Ovis aries: one gene and its partner. The protein of the gene in region 1 purifies or fractionates together with the protein of each later gene. This does not show direct contact. Links are inferred from orthologs where the notes say so. Each region holds a gene or a part of one and is shown on either strand. Other genes may lie near its edges.

Region 1 (3,559 bases):
CGCCCATGGCTTCTTCAGTGTCTACGGCATGTGCGTGGACACACTTTTCCTCTGTTTCTTGGAGGACTTGGAGAGGAAAGATGGGACGCCCGAGAGGCCTTACTTCATGTCTCTCACCCTCAAGATCTTGAACAAGACCAACAAGAGGCAGGCGGAGGCCTAGAGGCCCTGCCCCCACCCTCCCTGGAACTTTCGTGATGTGTGCTGGGCAGCTGGGTCAGAACCCTCAGCCCATCGGGCTGACCTGAAGTCCTATCACTGCCGCCCCCTTCCTGCCCCACCCATCATCCAGTTACCACCAGGGAACCTGCAGGATTTGGGGCATCACCTCCCTATGCCAAGGGCCAGTCGCAGTTTTCTGGGCACCTCCCCCCCTCACTATTTCACCCCCCACCAGCCAGGATGAGAATCCAGGTGGGGCTTCTTATTATCCAACATGTGGGGCCTCTGTGGGCTGCCCTGTGGTTCCTGCCCCCTCTTACGACAGGACAGTATTTGTGTCTGCAACAGCGGTGGCTGCAACAAGGCCACTGTAACCTGCATCTGCTCTGGCCAGGATGCCAGAACCCTTTCTCCAGGCTGAACAACTGGCTACTGGCCACTGCAGGCATTTCTTTATTTTTAAACCTGGACATGCATTAAAGGGTCTCTTAGCTTTTTCTCTGTCTTCACGGCTGAGATGGGGCCGCTAAAGAATGCTTATGTCCCCTCCTTGGGTGTTGCTGTGTGTACCCAGGTAGGGGTGTCTCCTGGCCAGGGAGGCAGCAGCTGGGGTGTCGATGGGGTGGAGAAGAGGGAGGTAGGTTGTGGGGGCAGGGAGGCTGGGGGTAGGCTGGTGGGGAGGAGGTTGGTAATAGCGGCAAAAATGGAAACTGGCTGGCTGGCTGAGTCGGGCCGAATTTCCCCTTTTCTCTGCCACTTATTGACACACCTCTCTTTGTAAGAGACATAAGAAACTGAATCCACCCAAGGGATGATTTCGAAGAAAGGGGGGATGGGGGTAGATGCCTTGGGCAAATGGGCACCCCCCACCCCCAGTCTCCTCGCTTTGAGGATCTTTTGCCAAATGTGTTGAATTCAGGGGAACTGGTGTACCCGTTCTCCCTTCGCCATATCTCAAGGCCCCCCATATCGATATGTGATCTGGAGAAGCCCCAACCTGGGGTTTCTGTCTCCTGTGCCTACCTGCCCCCCTCCCCCATTCTGTCCACACACCCCTATGTGTAACTGCATTCCAACCACTAATAAAGTGCCTATTGTACAGTGGAAAAAAAAAAAAATCAAGCCTCCAAAAGTTCAAGATGAATGGTCAATAATTTAACTGCAAACTCAAAACAAAATCACTCAATCGCAGAAAGAATCCAGCATCTCTACAATGTATACCAATCAGTATGTGCAATATGCATGGTATAAAATATAATTTTATATAAAGATTACTAAATGCAGGGAAAAAAGAAAAGCGATCAAAACAGATGCCCAAATTACTGATGTTAAAACATGCGGGGAGTTAAATGCAGCTACTATAAAAATGTACAGAACAAATATGCTTGTTCAAAGATCTATGCTCAAAAATATTACATATTCATGAGTCAAAATTAACAAACAGAAAACCTCACCATAAAAATGAAAACTATATTTTAAACATGGGAATTCTAGATCTATTGAAAAAACTTAAAAAAATTTTAAAACTCACTGAATGTGATTAACAGCTAATCGGAAATAACAAAATGTGCACAACAAATGAACACATCACAAAATTTCACAAAACAAGCTCATGAAAAGGTGATCAACATCAGTCCTCAGAAAATGCAAATTAAAATTATAAAAAGATAGCATTTCACACCTGCTGGAAAAGACTGACAATAGTGAATGCTGGCAGGGGTGTGGAGCAACCGAAACTCTCACACCGCTAAGTGTAAGCAGAATGCTACGACCCCTCTGGAAAGTTGTTAAGCAATGTCTCATCAGATGAAACATACACATGCCATTCTCGACCAGCAGCTCCACACCTGGACATGGATGTACCCAGAAGAAGTGGCAACTCAGCTCCATACACACTGTTACACAGAAGTTCATAGTAGTTTCATTCGTAACACCCCAGAACTTTTTGAAAGCTACTTAGATGTCCATCGACAGGACAGTGTGACATATTCACACAATTCACATAGTGGAATACTACTCAGTATTTTTTAAACAACTACCAGCACATGCATCAATACGGATGAATCTCAAAAATACTGTTAAGCAAAAGTGAGCACATATTCCTTTCATATAAACTAAAAGGAGACAAAAGTGATCCTTGGTGATAAAAATTACAAATGCAGCTGTTACAGTGGGGGTTGGGTGACTGTGCGGAGATGCAGCTCAGGATCAGAGGGGTTTCAGGACAAGGTTAAAGATGGGCTCTCACCGTGCAAATCCCTGTGGCAGTTCTCCAAGGCCGTAGAGTGGATAAAGGTATGGGCTTTTGCCGTATCTTGCCAAAGACTCGCTGTAAAGTTTAATCCTATTAATGGTTTCACAACATGGCTGATCTAAATAGCTAGACAAAAGGAAATGAACGTTAGAAAGCACTCTGGCTTGCATTCTTCTGCTCAATTTAAAATCGTTTTCTGAAAGGATTTCAATTCCACACTTCCATATTTTACTTATAAGGCTCTAACACGAAACTGAAGTTAGAAACTTCTTTTTCACAGTATAACATAGCTATGTATTTGTTTTGTTAGAATTTCCACTCTGCAGAATTGGGAAATTCAGTGACAATTTCAAGAAAAAATATAAATCTAAAAACCAGAAGACTTACTCATCAGTTCTGTAAAGTGCCAGGGCATGACCAGTAAAATCTATAACATCTTGGCCCAAGTCAAATTTCTTATACACCTCTCGCATTGATGTCTTCTTAGGATCAATGCCCTCAAAAGTTCGAGGATCGTTCTCATCAAAGTTGGCGACATATACCAGGAATTTTCTGAATCGACGTTTTTCAAACAGCCCCATTAGGCCTAAAAAAGAATTTTTCAAAAAGACACACTCGCAACAGGACACTGAGGAAAAGTAAGTGTGAGAACAAAGTCTAAATATCCCATGTTTCTATCTTAGGCTCTTACAATGCAATGTGCAATTTAAAATACAGGAGTTTTAAAATAAATGAAATTTCTTTCTTAACCATTTCTTTAAAATAAACTGACAGTTTCGTAACACTTTGAAATACACTGTCGTAATTATTTAGTCCCTAAACTGTGTCCGACTCTTCTGTGACCCCACTGACTGTAGCCCCCGGGCTCCTCTGTCCATGGGATTCTTCAGGAAAGAATACTGGAGTGGGTAGCCATTTCCTCCTCCAAGGAATCTTCCCGACCCAGGGATAGAACTACAGTCTCCTACACTGGTGGGTGGATTCTTTACCACTGAGACAACCGGGCTTCCCATAAATAAAACAGATCAGCTATTAAGTCTTCAATTCTACAATACAATTACAAGTAATTATGACCCATAATTAATTAAATATAACAAGTTTAATTATATTAGGTACAAATACAACTTTGAAAAACTATTACTC
Region 2 (4,326 bases), on another chromosome or scaffold:
GGAAAGAATAGGGGAAAACAAGCATTTAGTCCTACAGTTAACATTCCAACCATACTCTTCATAGTCTTGAACTAGGTACTAGTCACCTCATTTTAAAAGGAGAACACAGCCAAGTTTGAGTCCCTTTTCTGGGTAGTTAGAGCCCAATCTGGATCTCTAAGACCTTTCTAAGTCTTGCAGAACCTGTAATTTGTCTACTATTAAGCCACATTATAGAATGCTGCTGGGAAGCTTAGGCTCTGAGCCACAGGGATGACTCACAGACCTAGACGTGACAGAGGTGCAGTAGAGCCAGCCAGTCCGAGGCAGAAATGCTTGACCTTTTGATCTCTGGTACCACCTGAGTGCCTTTCCAGTTCTTAACACCAAGAAGGAACCATTTGAGCTTTGCACTGCCCCAACCCCAGCTTTTCACCCTATCTCTGCCCCCACCAAAGAACCCAGCAAGGGCCCTTTTGCTTCTCCATTATCTCAGCTGCAACCCTAGGGTGAAGCCACTTGGTTTCCAAAGGAAAATAAGACCTGAGAAGAACACTGATTATAGGAAGTGAGGCCAACCAGGTGGCCCCAGAAAGTCCTAGGTGTCCTGACACCCAATCCAGACAGCAGGGAAAGGGGTTGAGTGTAATTCACAGTGCATTGATTTTATTTACAAATCAGAAGCCATTTAAATAATCTGTAGACACAACTGCTGTCCAGGGCAGAAGCCTGGGGTCCAAATCAGCCCTTACCCTCTTTGTGCCCATCAGTCAGCCCCAATGCTGTCTCCGCTCCATGGGCCAGCACAGGCAGGTGCCACCTCTGCTGCCACTGGGACCCAGGTAGCTCAGATGTTTGATCATCCAAGCCCAGACAAGAGCTAGGTCCAGACTCCCTGGGGGAATCCCCCCCCAGGCCAAGTGAGTGGTGACTCAGTGATGACAGCAGCTGTAGAAGTAGGGGTTTGCCTTCTGGCCCAGGTCCACGCCCTTGTCCTCTGTTAAAGAGAGAGGTGGTAGCTCAACATACTTTCCGGGGGGTGGGGGTCAGGTGCTGTGGGCCTGAAGGGAGTCTCCACAGGAGCTAAGGAAGGACACACCTGTCATCACCTGGAAGGCGGCCACACTGACGTAATCCTCGGCCACTTTCTGGAAGAGCTCGTCTGGCAGGAAAAAGGGTGATTAGTGAGGACCAGATGCTAGGAGCCCAGGGATCCCATAGTAACCCAGCCCTCTGGGCTTTCCTCTGCCTCCTTTGTTGCCCCTGTGTGTTCTGCTGTGAGGCCAAGGACAGCACTCACCCACACTCTGGCCTGTCTTGCTGGATGTTTCAAAGAGCTGAGCTTTGATATCTGTAAAGAGAAAAGACTAAAGCCTCATACCTGAGAATTAGGTGGGCACAGACTAGCCGTACAGGGACTCTTCTGAAAGATGCAGGGAGGCCAGAGAAAGTCTTCCTGTGGGGGATCTTGCCAAGGCAGCCCCTATTTTCTGTGACCCACCCAAGCAGCCCCTTCCTTCCCCAACCCAAGGAGCTAAGGAGCAGCTACTGTCTGCATAGTCCTGAACGTCGTGGAAGTCCACTCGTCGCCGCCGCCTGTCCTCCTCCAGCAGGTCACTCTTGGTGCCACACAAGTAGATCTGACAGCCCTGGAGCAGAAGACAGGTCAGGGTCACTTCCCTTGGACCACCAGACCGCCAGCCCCTGCCTGGTTTTCTGGTGAGGTCAGGCCACCTACCTCCTCTAGGTTGCGCAGTTCCTTCACCCAGAACTTTGCCCGTTCAAAGCTGCTGCTGTCTGTCAGGTCTTGGTGTGGAACACAGGAAACACAACCAAGGGTGAGGGGCTGTTCTATAAGGCCAGCCTGGCACCCTCCCCTTCTTGTCTGAGCAACAGGCCAAAACTCTTCTTACCATAGCAGACGATGGCAGCCTTGGCGCCCCGATAGTAGATTCGGCTCATGGCCTCATAGCGCTCAGAGCCTGCTGTGTCCTGAAGGGCAGGGGGAGGCTCAGCCCTGGCCTGAGTTACGAAGGTATACTCCCCACGACTTCAAACTAATATCACGTCCTCCAGACCCCTGTTTTTAAACTGGGGTCTAGAGAACAGAAACCCCCGTGAGCCCACAAGTCAGTACAAGGCAGGAACTACGCCTCCTCAAGAGTGGGTTTTCCCAGATTACGTGCCCAGAGAACTTACCCAAATACCCAAAGTCACCGTCCGGTCTCCGACAGACATCACCTTGGCTACGAAGGCGGCCCCAATGGTCTGCAACCAAGGGGAAGCGATCAGAGCCTCGCGTGTCGGCTAGCCCCCTCCCACCCGTGCTGGGCCCCGTCGGGAGCACTCACATTCTGATAAGGCCCCACTAGGAAGCGGTCGTGCACGTATCGCTCCACCAGGCTCGTCTTGCCCACGTACTCCTTGCCCAACATCACCACCTTGACGTCCACGCGCTGCCCGCTCATGCTCCCGGGGCCGCCTCACCCGCGTCAGGGTCCTGAGCGGGGGCGCGAGGCAAACCCGGATCTCCGCTCCGACAGGCAGCGCCCTTAACCTCAGTCCCCGACCCCAGGCGCCAACCTAAGGTTCCACACGCCGCAACGAGCTTGAGCGATGACAACGCCTCCGTCCGCCCCCGCTTTTCGGGCCCAGGAATTCTCCTCCTAAGAGCCTGGGACCCGGGGCGGCCTGGGAGCGCGCGGGGCAGCGCCCTTAACGGCGCCGCACGCCGCCGCCCGACTTGCTAGCTCGCTCTGCCGCTCGCTCGCCCACCTAGCTTAGAGGCCGCGCCGGCACAGATTCCCCACCGAGCCAGGGGGATCCTCCAACCCAGCTCCGGCCCGCAGCGCCGCGACTCCAGCGGTGGCGGGGCCGGGGAAGGGGAGAGGGGTGTAGGGGGAAGGAGAGTGTGGGGGCGGGGTCGTCGGGTCACGTGGGCAGGCACCGGAAGAGGTGGGTACTTCACTGCTGAGCCGGAAGTGGCGCGCGGCCCGATAATTCCTCATGGCGGCGGCGGCGGCGGTGGCTGGTCGGGTGCGGCGCTGTAGCGACTGACCTGCTGCTAGCCTGGCGGCTGAGCGTCGAGCTCCAGCCCGGCCTCCGCGTGCCCCTCGGGCTCCGCACCCCTGATGCTGCTCGGGCGCTGAGCCCGCCCCGGCCGGGACGATGGTGAAGTATTTCCTGGGCCAGAGCGTGCTCCGGAGTTCCTGGGACCAAGTGTTCGCTGCCTTCTGGCAGCGGTACCCGAATCCCTATAGGTACGTGGCCCTGGGAAGAGCAACCCTCCTACCTCGCTCTTTGGAGATCGGAGTCTGGGGGCCGGGAAAGACTCGACTTTGAGTCGGGGGATCTCCAGAGCCTGGCCATGTTTAGGGCAGAAGAACCCTATCGGGTAAGCGGCCAGACTAGGCCTACAGGGTACTGGAAGGAGGCTGGGCCTGGGCAGTGGATTACTTGAAGCCCTAGTCTTAAGGTTCTCTCATCTCAGTGTGGTGAGACAGGAAGAGGAAGCAGCACAGGAATTGGGGAGGGATCTTGGGGTTGGAAGTCTGGGCGCTTGCCTGCTTCTCTGCCCTTGACTGCTCTCCAGTGGTGCAGTAAATCAGGAGGTCCACCCCTGCTGGAATGCCCAGGAATCCAGGTCAGCGAGGGGGCGGGAGTTGGAATTTGCCCTGGGAGAGGCTCAAAGGCTCCAGTTCAGGTCTGAGCCACAACCACAGCTTACTCTGAAAGTTTGGGAAAAGGCCTGGCCATTCTGAGCGTGGAGGCTCCAGATGGGAACCTCAGCAGGCAGTCTCCCAGGGTCAGGCTCCTGAGGGTCACCTTCACCCTGACACCTGCAGCAAGCATGTCTTGACGGAAGACATAGTGCACCGAGAGGTGACCTCTGACCAGAAGCTCCTGTCCCGCCGACTCCTGACCAAGACGAACAGGATGCCCCGCTGGGCTGAGCGACTGTTTCCTGCCAATGTTGCTCACTCAGTGTACATCCTGGAGGATTCTATTGTGGACCCACAAAACCAGACCATGACCACCTTCACCTGGAACATCAACCACGCCCGGCTGATGGTGAGACCCCTCTCACGTCCCCCCCGGAACTAGAGCGCTCTGGATACATGTGGCTAGGGAACCATGAGGGAGCTTCTGTGAGGGGCTAGGAGCTTCAGATCAAGCAGATCTGAAGAGTGATAGCTCTAGAGTACAAACTTGGATGGTCTTTCCAGGCGGTTACTTTCTCTAGGCCTGTCTTCTAACTCGTTCATACAGTGGAGGAGGAATACCTGTGTTCCACTTGTAAGTGCTAAATGCAGGGCACTCACAGTGTGCCTGGCACCAGTATGGGTT

The links.
Region 2: the proteins of GDI2 (region 1) and RAB24 purify together in Homo sapiens (affinity purification with mass spectrometry; 3 studies listed by BioGRID and IntAct, with this or other methods). This does not show direct contact. The link is inferred for Ovis aries from reciprocal best matches to the Homo sapiens genes GDI2 and RAB24.

The regions. Positions count from the first base shown.
Region 1 is NC_056066.1:42,499,548-42,503,106, reverse strand, and holds part of GDI2 (rab GDP dissociation inhibitor beta), read right to left. Parts: intron 3,003-3,559; coding exon 2,804-3,002; intron 2,543-2,803; coding exon 2,411-2,542; intron 1,262-2,410; exon of another isoform or gene 164-1,261; coding exon of another isoform or gene 1-163. Other genes in the region: choline transporter-like protein 2, read left to right, coding at 1-163. UniProt on the Homo sapiens protein: GDP-dissociation inhibitor preventing the GDP to GTP exchange of most Rab proteins. By keeping these small GTPases in their inactive GDP-bound form regulates intracellular membrane trafficking.
Region 2 is NC_056058.1:36,477,088-36,481,413, forward strand, and holds the start of RAB24 (ras-related protein Rab-24), read right to left. Parts: upstream 2,856-4,326; 5' UTR 2,448-2,855; coding exon 2,331-2,447; intron 2,248-2,330; coding exon 2,179-2,247; intron 1,972-2,178; coding exon 1,893-1,971; intron 1,786-1,892; coding exon 1,718-1,785; intron 1,629-1,717; coding exon 1,529-1,628; intron 1,331-1,528; coding exon 1,280-1,330; intron 1,142-1,279; coding exon 1,079-1,141; intron 977-1,078; coding exon 912-976; 3' UTR 1-911. Other genes in the region: PRELID1 (PRELI domain-containing protein 1, mitochondrial), read left to right, coding at 3,148-3,239, 3,825-4,050.